Danio rerio: one gene and its partner. The main gene of each other region encodes a partner of the protein of the gene in region 2 in a complex. Links are inferred from orthologs where the notes say so. Each region holds a gene or a part of one and is shown on either strand. Other genes may lie near its edges. The genes, in order: ybx1 and hnrnpua.

The links.
Region 1: hnrnpua (region 2) and ybx1 share a complex: the UniProt entries of both Homo sapiens proteins name them as parts of the coding region determinant (CRD)-mediated complex. The link is inferred for Danio rerio from reciprocal best matches to the Homo sapiens genes HNRNPU and YBX1.

The regions. Positions count from the first base shown.
Region 1 is NC_133183.1:56,868,923-56,876,288, forward strand, and holds the end of ybx1 (Y-box-binding protein 1), read right to left. Parts: intron 6,533-7,366; coding exon 6,212-6,532; intron 6,124-6,211; coding exon 6,038-6,123; intron 4,075-6,037; coding exon of another isoform or gene 4,072-4,074; coding exon 3,843-4,071; 3' UTR 3,806-3,842; intron 3,227-3,805; 3' UTR 2,885-3,226; downstream 1-2,884. UniProt on the Homo sapiens protein: DNA- and RNA-binding protein involved in various processes, such as translational repression, RNA stabilization, mRNA splicing, DNA repair and transcription regulation.
Region 2 is NC_133192.1:12,688,052-12,696,548, forward strand, and holds the start of hnrnpua (heterogeneous nuclear ribonucleoprotein U), read right to left. Parts: upstream 4,903-8,497; 5' UTR 4,779-4,902; coding exon 4,364-4,778; intron 2,429-4,363; coding exon 2,314-2,428; intron 612-2,313; coding exon 538-611; intron 382-537; coding exon 242-381; intron 1-241. UniProt on the Homo sapiens protein: DNA- and RNA-binding protein involved in several cellular processes such as nuclear chromatin organization, telomere-length regulation, transcription, mRNA alternative splicing and stability, Xist-mediated transcriptional silencing and mitotic cell progression.

The DNA of each region.
Region 1 (7,366 bases), on a different chromosome or scaffold from region 2:
TTTAGAGCCGGAAAAAGAATTGAACTGTTCATCTCTCGAGTTCTCGGGTTTGAGTCATTCTGTCACGTAAACAACGAACGATCATGGCTCCTATCGGCTTAGACAGTGCATTGGTTAAGATTATATGTGACTGTCAGTGTAACGTGAATGAACCCCTGAAATTTGAAGAGATGAAGAGGTGAGCTGAGCAAAGAGACAACAATACCTTCATAGACAGAAGAGCAGACAACATTGAATTATTATTTTCTCCTTATTATATTCTACTTTTGACTTATTTGTCATGCAGTCAACCTTTTGGGCTTGTTGTAGATGTGTTTGGAAGCAATTCGTAACATTTTAATAATATTTTGGCAAATTGAACCAAATGAACCAAATGACTCGAAAAAAGATTCGTTCATCTTGATAATCAAGACTCAAAGATCCGAGTCAGTAAAATGATCCGAACTTCCCATCGCTATTTGTCAGTCTCCTAATCAGTGAAATAAATGACCAAAGTACCAAATAATACCTGCCATGAGTATAACCGCATTCACCATCGGGAGGCGCTGTAATCACTCTTAAAGGAGAACTTTGCTTTTACAATCCACAATAAATAATCCTACATGTGCACCCCATCCGCTACACGAGTGGCCGTTAAGTGCGTGAAGTGTCCAACCTGATGCACTTAATTTTACCGGTTGAACGAGTGCATCATCCGGGTAATTAAAGTGCACTTATTATTTTTTATGAGTTTTCAGCATGAATGCACTACACCAGTGGTTCTCAAACTGTGGTACACTGTACTAGTGGTACACAGGCTTCCTTCTAGTGGTACGTGGAGGAATGAAATATGTCATGTACATGCTACACACATTTAAAAATTTATCAAAAATGATGTAAATAATATGCCATATAGCCTATAGTTCTGAGGTAATCAGCCACGTTTTTTTTAACCTTGCAGAGATGTAGCTGCTTTACTGGGCCTTCTACGCTATTGTATTTCAATACTGCTCATTTTGGTGGTACTTGGAGAGACAATTTTTTTCTGAGGTGGTACTTGATAAAAAAAAGTTTGAGAACCACTGCACTACACTATTTAGACAACAAAATTGTGTAGAATAGTGCATAAGTATGCAATTTAAGACGCACCTTTAGTCTTGACGTCATTTGTAATGTAGACTAAGCAGACCGCTATAATGGGAGAAACATTTTTCAAAGCTTCAACAATTGAACCTCGCAAAATTATTCAAATGATTTGAAGCATTGGAAATGTCACAAAGCTGTAAATGCAACAACCGCTCTGGAAAAGCACGCATTATAATTGACTTTTTTAACTCAAATGTTTTATTAAATCTTAAGTTTCTTGTTACTCTTGAAACCCTAATTATTTTATTCTATTGTGTAATACTAATACTGTTATTAGTTCAGTTGTTTTTCCCCCACTCAGAAATGACTTTTGCTGCTAGTTCCAACTACTTATTTAAAATGAGTTGAAGAAACATTTCTTAAGGTTTTTGGGACAACTAAATTGTTTTATGTTCAGGCCTATTAATTGTGTAAAAACAATTACGTAAAATAATTGGTTTGTGTTGAGACAACATGAAAGAATTGTGTGGAACCCATAATTGTTTGGTGTATGTGTAAATTCTTAAGCATAGAAATTGGAATATTGGTGTGTGCTTTTTAATGTGGCAAGGACAATAATTAAGGGGTGTTTACTTTAAGATGGTGATCGGACGTCTTTATCTGAAATTTAAGTTAGGGCTGGGTCGATAAAAGATATTATATTGAAACGTGATAAAATTGTCAATGATTTTTACTCTATATTGATCCAAGGGCAGAAATGTACAACAATGGGAATCTTAAAGTGTGTTGATAATAGAGATGTTCTGAATTTTCGGCCACTGAAATGTTATGCCATTTAATGGCCCCTCTAATTTTTGTAGCTTCAGTCATTTTTGGGATACTCTTAAATTTGGAAGCAACAACTACTGATATCGAAATATATCGTTGTCGTTTAAGATGGAAAATAATTATTGAGTGTGCATTTTTGCCCTATGTAGCATGGATTGGATGCGCACTCCAGAATCTAGACAGATATAGTAGGTGATCCAGGTACTTCTCGCATACTGTTTTTTTTTCCGAATTCGGACATGCTACACAGCTAGCATACTGTGTTTTTAGCGTACTATATAATACGTATGCATACAATTTGAAACGCAGCACAGATGTTTTGCGAACTCTAAATGTCTCTTCTGGAAAACAGGTTGAATCGCACATTTGCAAAATGATCTCAGATCAAATTTAGAACGATTTCTTCACATTATATAAACAAGACCCATAGTTTAGAGAAAGGACAAAACTGGTTCAGATTCACCACTGGGGGGCCATCTGTGGGAATCATGCTAATTTTATGGTACTCCTCAGATCACCACAAGCTAAAAGCCACAGAATTATCAAAACTAAAAAGGTGTTAATTTGATATGCCCATCCAAACAAAAGATTTGTAAATAATTCAAAGCTTCATGTAGCACTACCCCCACCCTGCAAATACCACTTTAGTGTGTCACGGTAACAAATAGGATATGATGACATCCTGTGACTCAGTGTTCCCACAGAAACTCCCACAATGCTTTGGACTGAAGATTCAAATGTTTGTTGTATGACTGTTGTAGGTTGGTGTTATGGAGAGCGCATGAGAGATGGGGAGAGAGGCTGGTTTCCTGCTAGTTGTGCCACTCAGATCACCAACCGCACCGCCATGGAGAACAACATCCAGCGTATGGAGAGACTCCGCAAAGAGACCAACGTGTGAACCGAACCCCAGCCGCAGGACACTGTTTGTAGAGATGATTTTTAGACTAGTGTGAATCAGGAACTGTTAACAAACACCACTCGTACGAGATTAATGTTTCTGGTTTTTATTTCAGCTTGCCTTTTGTTAAAATTCATGTTTGGATACATAAAAAGTTATTTAAAAATGTCAAACTGACCAGATATCAAATTACATTTAAAAACCATTTGGTGTAAAAACTTAAGACCGATTTAGAAAAACATCTGCTGTTTCCCCAAAAGTTTTAGCTGTCACAAAAATAATGGAAAAACAAAACAAACAAAAAAAAAAGTCTGCATAGAGTCTGCAGGCAATCGGTGGTAATCTGGTCGAAATGCATTTTTGCAAGCTTAGACGATCGAAGTCATATCTGTTTCTTATTGCTCAGATGTTGGATGTTTCTTCTTGACAAAACTGTGAAAGCAAACACACACACAAAACACTAAGTCAGTATGCTTGAAGCAACTCATCAGTTACAAGCACTAAAATGTGTGTGAAAGGACAAAGCAGACAGTCTGCTAAATCAAATCCATTCCATCATCCAACCTTCCATCAATGAAAAGTGCGAGCTAAAGCTAAAACATCATCCATTATCTAGAGTTACGTCTAAAAGGAGCTAATAAGGCATTAAATCAGTCCACCAGCACAACTTTCATGACATTTAAGCACAAATCACATGAAAATGACTGCACATTTTACAATCCGCTTGGCTAAGGTTGTATTTAAAACATTTTCCACAAGAACTTCTGCTTAATTGTCATGAAATAACACCAAACATCATTCTGCTTCAAATATTCTTTATTTCCTTTAGGCAACAACAAAACATTTATTAAGCAAAATGTGCCTTTCAGATCTTTCATGAGACTCTGTCAACAAAAACAATTATAGAAAAAACGAAACAAAAGAATGCTACTGTACAAATTGCAACACACTTGAAGATCAAGTATGTTAAAGTACATGCAGTACTAGCTGAAATGAAACGGCGTCACCCACCCGGCCGGATGGTCTGGATGTTTAAGCCGGTGGCGGTTTAATCTGCTCCGCCCTGTTCGGCTTCGGGAGCGGCTGATTTGTCGGCTGATGCGTCGGCTGCCTTGCTGTCCTTGCCGTCCTGAGGCTTGGTTGTCTGGGGGCGTCTGCGGCGGTAGTTGAAGTTGCGACGGTAGCGGCGCTGACGGGGCTCCTGGTTCTGTCCGCTCTCGCTCTGGTTCTCCTTATCCTCCTCTCCGTCCCGCACTGGCCGGGGACGTGAGGGACCCCTGCTGGAACACAGATGATGAAGTGTCCATCAGATTCCCAGTATCAGTTTCTAAGGCAGTGTGTTTCTTAACCACAATCCTGGAGGACCACCAGCTCTGCACATTTTTCATGTCTCCGTAACCAAACACACCTGATTTAGATCATCAGCTCATTATTAAAAACTGAAAGACCTGAAATGGGTTTGACAGACAAAGGAGATTTCCAAAACATGCAGTGCTGGTGGTCCTCCGGGACTATGGTTGGGAAACACTGATGCTCAAACTACTTTACAGTTCTAACCAAATGTAAGAGCACAAACGGGATGGGACAGCTATTGGTTTTATAGTAACACTTTACAAAACAGGATCCTGTACATGTTTGTAAATACATTAATGAATGTTTAGTTTATTAGTTAAAGTATGTGCTTGTTAAATGAAAATATAGATGTTAACTTTAAGTGGAGTAATGTTACAAGAACAGTTCTGGATTTTTAGTTGTGTCCATAAATACATTATTAGTTCATGATACTAAATACACAGTCTTTCACAACGGGAAGTCTATTTAAAGAGCAATAGAAGTTAGTTTAACTAATAATTTGAAAGATCATTCGAAGAAATGTTCATGCCAAATGTTCAAAGCATTAGAAAGAATGCAGTTTACCATTGCAATTTCCTAATACTAAAAGCAACATATGAGGTAACTTTTAATTCATTTCTCACACACAAAAAAAAAGGGTGCGGTTAATTAGTAAAACATTTAAAAAGCAAAATGCTCCAGACTTGCACTTATTCGGTGTATCTTGCAGTATTATGGTTTAGCTTTATTCTTCCTAAGCTCGACTGTGCAGGATGGACATAATGAGGTTTGATTTGTGAGATTTAAAAAAAAAAAAAAAAAAAAGGGTTCACACAAAAACAAATACCGTTTTCATTTACTGAAACTGAACCTTTACAGTGTTTGACCGCACTGTAGAAAGCTAAAAACAGTTCTTGGTGCATGTGCGACTCTAGTCAGTCATCAAAATACAAAAACTGCATCACTTGTTTGAATGAGTGCCTTTGCACTTTCATAAATCAAGATCAAAAATGACAAATCAAATCATAAAGACTAGTCACACTTGCACAGAGATATTGATTGACTCTTTTGTATGCTTTTATTTTTATTCTAGAAAACCCAGAACCATTTACTGCTCTAATATAAAATCCCCAAAGACCACAGATTTAGCTAAAAAGGAGAAGAAAAATTAAGTCATCTACATCTTAGACGTAGGCCTGTCACAATATCTATTTTTTTGTTAAACAACATTTTGAACCAAAATGTATAGTGATAAACAATATTATTGTCATTTTAAAAGCCTTTTATTAAATAATGCCAGAATGACAATATATTAACCACAAAACAAATACACTTCCAAAGAACACAATTTATTCTTAAGATTGTTTAATTGCCATTTTAACTATTTAATAATCAGGCACTGGAATCAAAAAGTGTGAAACGCATATTGTAAACAATAAAATGTTAACAAAAAATTTAAATAGAATAAAAGTGCAAGGTAATAAGTAACAAAGTCTGTGATATGTTAGCAGATCTATTTTCAGCTGTCAGTCATCCACATAAAAATATACTCTAGGAATTACTACAATGTTTAGAACCATAAAGAGGCTGCTCAGTTAAAACGTTGCTAGAACTGATTATGTATGGGCGATATATACTGCATCACCAAAAATGATCGAGGTCAAGTCCATGTGTTGTGCAGTAAGTCTATATATTGATCGTGACAGGCCTACTTCAATGACCCAAGAGTAATTTATCAGGAAACTTGTAATTTGGGGTGGATCATTCTATTAAAAAAATAAATAAATAGAATTGCTAAATTAATACTTAATTAAAACAATAGAAAAAGAAAACTTAAATAATGAAAATCATGAATATCTGAAAGATCTCCAAAGTCCAGCAGCAGTATTGTTCCTCTTATGACATACAAACCTTGGTCGGAAGCCTCTGTAGTAGTTCTGCCTCATTGGTTTGTTGCCCTGGTCTGGACCCCCTTGGTTCTCTTCACCTTCACCACCCTAAAATTCAAGAAAAGCATCCATCAGTCAAAAAAGCAGCTTCCAATTTAATTTACTGACTGATGCTCAGGCATCACCAAAAGCATACCTCTGTCATCTCTCCTCTTTGTGAGTTGGTGTAGGGGGGGCGTCTGCCGTAACGCCTCCGCACGAAGTATGGTGGGTAGCGCCGTCTGCCGGGGTAAGTGGGTCTGCGCTGCTGCTGCTGCATCTCCCCCTCGGGGGCGCTCTCTGCCCCCTCTCTCTTCTCCCGGGGCTCTGCCTCAGGGTCGCTCTGATAGTTCTCCTGGTAGTCGCGAGGTGGGGCCCTCCTGCGTGGGTACCGCCTGTAACGGTTCCTGTCAGCTGCATACTTACTACCCTGCACAGGAACGCCACCCGGGCCGGTAACATTTGCTGCCTCAGCCCCCTGACAGAATGAAGACAATGCAGATCAAGTGTCCGCTAATTTAATAGATGGGCTGTTGCTTTAGATAATGGATGCAGAATTTTCCAGTAAGTCATTCAGAGTCTGGCCAGAAATATGATGCTTAATCAATATCGGCTTCAAAGCATTTTTATTTAGGATACGCAGAGAATTATTTTAGTAGTTCTGATGACATAACCTCTCTGATTTTGAATTTCAGCTTATCATTTTTATTAATGGCTTTGTTAGTTTTAGTTTGGCTTTTAATTTGCTGTCAACATTTTCATTTTGTTCTTACACATTTAGTTTCAGTTTTGGCAATTCTCACACACCTAGAGTTAAGCAAATGTTTTCACCGCTTTTTTTTTTTTTTTGGACTTGAACAGAAACACCATATAAATTCAACTTAAAAAAATTAGCAAAATCATAAACTGTTGTTTGGCATGAAAGTGAGAAACATCATATTAAAAGTATCAACATGTATAGTTAACAAATTTTGGCAGATAACAAAAACTGATACGTTTTAGTTTTTTGGTACATCATGCACTTGACAACCAACAGGTATCACCAAACATGAAGACCTCATCGCCACCAAGTCTGAACCAATAACATTGGCGACATTAAATAGATTCACTAAATATTGACTGTAAGAAACTAGTCCTAAACTAAAACATCATTCATATACTTTAACAATGTTAATCCAGAAGATGTCACCTATAGAACAGTGTGCTGCCTTCATTACTGCAGTAAACAAAGCAGTGTGACATCAAATACAGCAGGACTATCAACTTCATAAACTACACAGCATCACAACATTTAAAACTTTAGTATACAACT
Region 2 (8,497 bases):
GGACAGCACTACAGCACCTGCACACGACATCATATGATGTTGCAAGCTCTTCATATAAGATCAATGACAGCAACTGCTGTAATTATTCCACATGCATTGTTTTTTGTATTTATCTTTAGGCAATCACCAAAGGCAGCACTATACATATATCTCAAAACAAACTTTTATTTTGGATGCAATTAATCTTTGCACAGCATTAGAGAAAATTGTACATATTTTGCCTTTAAGAGCGAACTCTCACCTTCATCTCAAAGCAAGCCTTGCCCTTGTCCACTCCATAAGACCCTCGTCCTCCTGCCCACAGGTAGGCAAAGCTCTCCATCGTAAGAGACGAGGCGCTGTAGCGATCACGAGACACCTTGAAGTGCAGGTCACAGTTGTCTGAAGAGAAAAGACGAGACTGTATTTATTACAAGCTACAGACTGACTGCACATTCAGCAGAAACGATGTTGTGACCTGCAGGCTTTACCATATCACCAGTATTTTGCATCAAAAACATATTGCGAGTTGTTTTTAAGTAAGATCTTCATACTCACAGGTGTCCAAACACACGGTTGTGTCATCAAACTCTTCATCTTCTTCCTCCAGAGGGGGCTGAGGAGACTTTGCCCTGAGAGAAAGGAAAATAATTTAGCTGATTTACTATTTTGTAATCAAGTGAAATACACTTAGCCTTCAGATGCAAAAGTCTGTCAGATTTTTTGCATCTGAAGTCCATTTATTTGTGTGTGTGTGTGTGTGTGTGTGTGTGTGTGTGTGTGTGCGCGCGCGCATCACAGCCATTTTTTTTTATTATTGTAATTTTTTTTTTATAAAGGCATTTTAAAGATAATTTTCTCTGGATTTCTCAAAAATTGTCAAAGGGTTTTTACTTATCAGAAGTTAAAACATTGATATTGTGTTGGTATTTTTAAAAATTGTATTATATATTAAAATAAAATATTTAAAAATATATAAAATCTATAAACAATAAATAATAATAAAAAAAATATAATATATTTAAGTGAATAATAAGTTTTTAAAATATATATTAGGGCTGCACAATATTGGGAAAAATATTTAGTTTAGTTTTCCTGCAATACTGTATACATTGTAATATGAAAATCTTTTTCTAAAATGACTATATGAAAAATAAATAAATAAATAAAAAAATAGAGTACAAAATAGTCAAAGTATAAAAAGCAGAAATGAATGAATAGATTTTCCCTATACACAAATATTAATCTTATCCAAAAAACAATAATAAAAATTATATATATATATATATATATATATATATATATATATATATATATATATATATATATATATATATATATATATATATAAAGCAGACACTTAGTTAAACAAAATAACAGTGTCAACAATGACTAAACTACTGAGAAATATCCACAAGATAAATGTGAACATCACATAATTGGAGATCTGACTGGGACATGAGGGTTTTAAATGACTGAAAAACAGCTGCGGGTGCAGTTAATGGTTTTTGGTTGGACAGTTTAACAGTATTGAAGTTAAAAAATTTAATGATCAAAAGTAAATTAAGACTGCACAGTTTTTATTCTACTGTATTAAGTAATTAAACACAATTCATCTCCATTAAAGCGACAAACTTGTGCCTAAATGCTTCAAATTCTCCTGAAATCTTAGTCACATTCCTTTAAAACAAAGACAGAAAATAATAAAAGTCTTTTGCAACGACTTCACAAATCGCATGATACGAGACGTGTTTTCTGGTTACTTATAATCCCAATATGACATTGCGGATCCTGTGATGTGACTATTGCAGATTCGCACATCGCAATGTTGATGTTGAAACAATATATTGTGCAGCATTAATATACATATTTAAATATAACCATTTTGATTTCATCATTGTTTAACATTTACATTTTAAGAGTATAAAAATGTTTAGTGGTTGTGAATGCATTACCTGGAAAAAGAAAAAAGACAAATTAGCATATCACCAATACATAAACAAATACATATATTAATTAAACACAACATAAACAATAATAATAACACAAAAGAAGAATATACGATTTAAACATAATATCTGATAAAAACAATAACCCATACAATATAACTTCCACCAAAACACATTGATTTCATTCTTTAACAGCCCGAGCACTGAGGTGAAAGAGATGCCCTTAATATTATTATAAGCTCAAAATTATTTCAAATGGTCAGTAAAAATGTGTGTTTCTTTGCACTGATGTCAGATCTGGCTCTTTACTGCCAGAACTGCTCATAAATCTTTCAGGTGCAGCGGAACCTCAGGAGTACCAGCAGCCCGACTGCACAATTCTTACCGGCTGTATTTTCTTTCTTCAATAAATTCAAAGTAGGCCCTTCCATGTTCATCTCGGCGTCTCTTTACACCCTTCTTATTCTTCTGTTCATCTTTCTTGTCTTTGTCCGCATCCCCTTTGGAAAACAAACAATAAAGCGTAAGGAAGAGTACCTCCCTGCTGGACCAGGCATGATGTAACATGATGGTCCACAGAATTACTGGAGGATTTATACTCTTGTTTAGGGTATGCATGAATTGCAATGAGCAGTGCTTTAAAAGAAAATTTATGCTCAAGGAGCGACGTCAGACAGTGCGGGTATTGTACACTGCGGGATTGTATGAGTACAGACAGAAGGTTGATGCCAAGACAACTGCAAACTGTGCAATTTTGAGCTGAGTAACACACATTTACATATTCAAATTGCATGCATCTTGAAGAACTGCAAATGTTGTGACATAAAAATTAGCGATGCACCGATACTGAAACCAGTATCGGGTCAATGCTTTGTTAAAATACTTGTACTCGTATCGCAAATGAAATGACGATACCACTCAACAGTATGTCACTACGTTGATTTGTTGTCCTACATGACTTTAATGTCTTAAGACAATAATTAAAAGAGTGGCGAGACTTGACAAGGCCATATGATGCTTTAAAATGCTTTTCTAATGTTCATGACTATAGTATACAAATGAATGAGGTGTCACAGAGCACTGACTGAATCAGATGGCCAATCAGAGATATTGGCTATCCAGAGAAAGGGGCTTGGTTGAAACCAAAACTCAATCAGAGCTGCAGCAATGCAGAGAAAGTGGAAAATAATATACATTTTTTTGAAAATTAAAGCATTATTTTAAATTAAATAATAAATTAAAATAGCATCATAAGGCCTGTTTGATGGTCACAGATGTAGGCTAAAGCCACTAACCCCCCTTTAGCACAAAGGGGGTAGAAGCATCTGCCAAATGACAACAAAGAATACCATGAGGTGCTCCTCAATACTGTAGGGCATCTATGGACCTGAAAAAGTTTAACTTCCACTAAAAACATGTAGTCAATAAACATGAAATATATAGTGTTTGAGTTTTTAGCCCCTTTAAGCAACATATTTTCCAATAGTCTACAGAACAAACCATCATTATACAATAACTTGCCTAATAACCCTTACCTGCCTAGTTAATAATTAATCTAGTTAAGCCTTTGAATATCATTTTAAGCTGAATACTAGTATCTTGAAAATTCTTAAGTAAAATATTATTTACTGTCATCATGACAATAATAAAATAAATCAGTTATTACAAATGAGTTATTAAAACTATTATGGTTAGAAATGTTTTGAAAAAATCTGCTTCTTTTCCGTTAAAAAGAAATTGGGGAAAAAATAAACAGGGGAGCTAATAATTATGACTTCAACTGTGTACTGGTGCAAAGACATTATAAGGGATCAATTAAATAAAATGAATAAATCAAAATGTACATTTTTAATAAAAAAAAATAACAATGGATTTTTTTCATTATTTCTTGCATTTAATTTGCAGATATTTCTCATACTTTAATTAGGTTAATGAAATATGTATTACATTAAGGTTTGACATATGTAGCACAATGTAAAGAAGATGTTGCATTCACCATAAAAATATATATATTGAAAAACTATTGGATAATCAATAAAATTATAAAACACTAAATAAAGGAAATAGGAATAAGAAAATAATTAAATTACGTAAAAATATAAGTTTATATTTTATTAGAAATAAATATTTGAAATAAAAAGAAATACATTGTATTATATTATGCATGTTATTATAATTAATATAATTATGTATAACATTTAGCTATATTAGATTAGAATAAAATAAAATACTTACATACTTAGCAAAGTAAAGCCTATTGCTGTAAATCATATAACCTGAAACTGTAGCAGTAACTCAAGGAGAAACAAATGGGACAGCAGCAATGAGCCCATAACAAACCCCAGTATACGCGTTCTGCTGACAGTATGAATTATTTTAGCCCAATTATACACAAAGTAACTATGAATTACTCGATCTTCATCGTATAATCTCACCCTTGTCAAGAGCCACATCATCCTCATCGAATTTCTCCATCTCTTCATCTTCATCATCATCACCATCATCATCTTTAAGAAGAGCGTCTTCATCCGATTTATCCATCTCTACCCCGGCGTCCTCCTCTTCCTCCTCCATAATATCATCATGCTCGGCCTCCGCGTTTCCTCCATCCTCTTCTTCCTCCTCCATGCTCTCTCCCACCGGGTCCTCCTCCAGGTCTTTGCCGGCGGGGTCTCCTCCGTCCTCGTACCGACGCTCGGAGCCGTTAGTACCAGAGAGCGCCTCCTCGTCTAGTGCGGCCTGCAGGCGCGACATAAGATCCGCCTTCAGCCCTTTATCAGACAGACTCCTTTTCTTTAGCTCGTCCTTCAGCTCGTTCACTTTCAGCTTCTTCACGTTTATAGCGCTCATTGTGACCGTCGTCTTCAGACTTGTGTATTTGAGCAATTATGAACGGAAAATATGAACGGAAAGGGCAGGTTGTTGTGAGCGGACTGTCCGTTAACGCGCGGTGCGGTCACTGTAGGCAGCAGTCGAAGCGGAACAAGGCCAGCTCAGCTTTATATAATCTACCGTAAAGCACGTTATAGCCGAGCGCGTATGAGACTACCGTAAATATCGATATTGATTTAAGATAATAGACGTAGTTTTACAATTTTTAGAAATTGTATTGTCTGTGTGGCTTTTTTGTTTAAAACTTAAGGCATTTTTTGTTCTGTTTTTAAACATGGAATTTAATTAGATATTTTACAGTCCTTTAGATAGGGTGGCTCTTTTTTCTGAAAAAGTGGACCTTTTCTGCAGTTATTCACCTCATTTTCTATTCAATTATGAGGTTTAAATAATGCATTGTAGTGACATTTTAATTACTAATCTTCGCCGAATCTTTTTGACGTACTAAAAATATTTTCTAGAGTGCTTATACTGCTTTATTACAAAGAATTTGCATTTAAACTTTAATTTACTACAGTTATATAAATAATGCTATGAGTTTTATTCAAATAAAAAATTAATAAAGAAAAATAAAAACATACTTATTTTTAAATACAAATTTTTTATCATCCATCATTTTAAAAATATATGGTCAAACTTGTTTTAAACTAAAAAGTGTAGCAGAAAAAAAAAACTCACCATCTCATTTCACTTTCCTCAGAAAGCCAGAATTTGGCCACTTGATGAGCAGATGAACATGATGTATATAAATTAATTTCTGCCTCTCCTGATGCCTCTATTTTGATTTCCCATTTTATAGCCGTTTGTAATAATCAGTTTGACATATCTACTTTGTATTTGAAAGATTCTTGAAAGATTTACAGATTATAATTACCAATGGGGACTGGAAAAAGTCTATCAAGGTCATAATAAATACATAAGAGTGTGAAGATGCAAAAACCTCTAAATGCCTTTTGAAACATTTCCCTAAAAGGAGTATTTTTTATGTGTATTCATATCACTTAAATGGCAAAGATTAAGTCCTTTTCCTGGGCTTTAAAGTAAAATATCTCAACATAAACAAAGGATGCTGAGAAAAAAGTAAATTTTCTATGGAAATTTCAGATGTTTTTTGCATCTAAACTCTTGACATGTTCTATTAACTCAAGACACCTAATCCAATATAAAAGTGTGCATTGGCTTCATTATTCTATAGGGTTAAGCTTAATAAATTCTAGTCCTCTATCTCCTGTAAATGTAATAAATGTGAAGCTGAAGGCTTCATAGGACATATTTTTTGGTCATGGCCAAAACCTTTTGAGATTTGGAGCAAAATGTTCAGATTCTACTCTGGGGCTTGTTCTTATGACCTTGCCCCTGATCCAGCAATCACTGTTTAGGTTTATCTGACTCAATTTGTAGGTTCAGTCATCAAATTAAAAAAGCTGTCCAATATAGAATGGTGATATATAGCTAAAAAACATTATTCTTTGTTTATGAAAAAGGCATCAAAACCACTTTAAATCCTTAAATCCTGGCTTTCAGAATTTTCTGCCACTTTACATTTAGAGAGAATTAGACACAATTTTTCTGAAAACATTGCTGGCTTCGAAGCCACCTGGAAACCCTTTTTAACTATCTGACAAATGCCAAGAATAACAGTTTAAAGGTATTACCCTGTCATCGTCTGCAAGATCACCATATTGCCTGTGCCCACCCCACTGGCTATATGTGTAACATTGTTGACCCATGTATAATATTGGAGGAACTGATGTAATAATTGTTTTAAAACCTTTTTTTTGTTCTGTCTTTTTTTTTGTTGAGTTTATTTTCTGTCTTTATAATTGTTGTTGCCTTTTGTATTGCTTTGTGTTGCTTTGAAGTCAAAATAAAAATATAATATTCAAAATAAAAAAAAGAGTTGTATCATCAGCTAGTTGACTAATTATTGTGTTCCATAAAATGAATGCCTGCAATATTGTCATTTTTAACAAGAATTGCTAATAGTTCTGCAGCCAATATACATAATTTGAGGAAAGCTTCTACATCCTTGCCTTATTCCTCTGGTCACATGAAATATATTTTCTTGGCACTCAAAGCGCATTACACATAGAGGGAATCTCCTCATCCACTTTTTTTTTAAATGTAAGAAAGAACATTACAAAGATATAATATGAACAAAGAGACAAAGAGGGTTACATAAATAGAAATCCAGCTAATTAAACAAGTTTAAATGATTTACACCAAGAAAGCGTTTTACATCCAGTGCAATTGTTAGAGTCTTTTAAAGAGTTCACATAAATTTCAAAGTCCTTTCTGAAAATAAAAAAGTAAGGGTGTTTCTTTGAAAATTCACATTTATGGATATAAAATTTAGCAATAAAGCAATAAATCAATAATAAATTTACACTGAGAAGGATCTACACTCAGAGAGTAACCAAAGAATACAATTTTTGAGGAAATACAGAAGTTTGGAAATAAGAATTTGTTTATGAAATTGGAAAAGTCAACCCAAAACACTTCACAGTAAGTACACTCCCAAAATAAATGGTTTAGTGTTTCATCATATTGAGTACAAAATGAGCATTTAGGTGAAATATTGTTATTAAATTTAGCTAGTTTGATATTTATTGGGTAGCAATCTCCTCATCAGTGTAGCATCCACCTGTATGACGCGACAGCAGCCATTTTGCACCAGACCGCACACCACAGAGAGAGAAGACAGCGTGATAAAGTCAATTATGATATGGGGAGGGTTGGGAGGCCATGATGGACAGAGGCTGGGATATTGGGGTATATGCTGAAGCATGCTAATAGGACTTTTAATTTGCCAGTAACCTGGGTTAAGCGCTTCCGGCAAACTGTATGCCAAATTAAAAAAATCAGCACGTTTAGGGTCGGTTTTCTTTAAAAATCAGCGATATCCACTGGCTGAGTGAAGTCCGATATAAAGTGGGTCTCAGATTGTACAAGAAGCACTGCATTAAATTACTATTTTACCCCAGTGTATTCAATGGAGCTTCTGCGCTAGCCTGCCGATTCTGACGGCCGAGAGGGAGTAAAAGTTATTTTGTCTCGTTTTACGCTTGAACAACTAAACGAATGCCAAAGTTTATTTAACTGAATGTATTTTAATTACATTACAACATGGATGCTGTAAAAGGAACCGTATAAAGTGGAAAAAACTCACAGTAACCGGTCACCGGAAGTTTATAAGTATGGGAACAACATTAGCTCGGCATATAGCCAATTATATTCATCTGTCTCCATATTCTACTGCATCTCAGAATATTACACTGCACCAAAAATGTAAAAATATATATTTAATATATTTTTGTCCACAGCAGACGGCAACTTGCCATGACGCAGATTCCGGAGTCTGAGTGCTCCAATCAGGTGAGCCCTCTTCAGCGCTCGCCATGACAACGAGACAACAGTGACGTGCCTTGTAAAAATGTGTATATGGATTTCTATAAAGCTCGTGTGCTCTCAGTCAGCATTGTCAGTTCGCCCGATGTTGCTGTTTGTACTTGACCAAGGTGAGTTCAATACCGACGGTACGAGTGGAGCCACGCCAATCTCACAAAGTCTGCTTCGTGAAGCTTCACCCGGGCCCGTCTGTGCTGTAGTTCCTTGCGGTTTGCGTACATAAACGCAATATCGCGAAGAACATTACGTGTTTGTTGCTCGAAATGTGC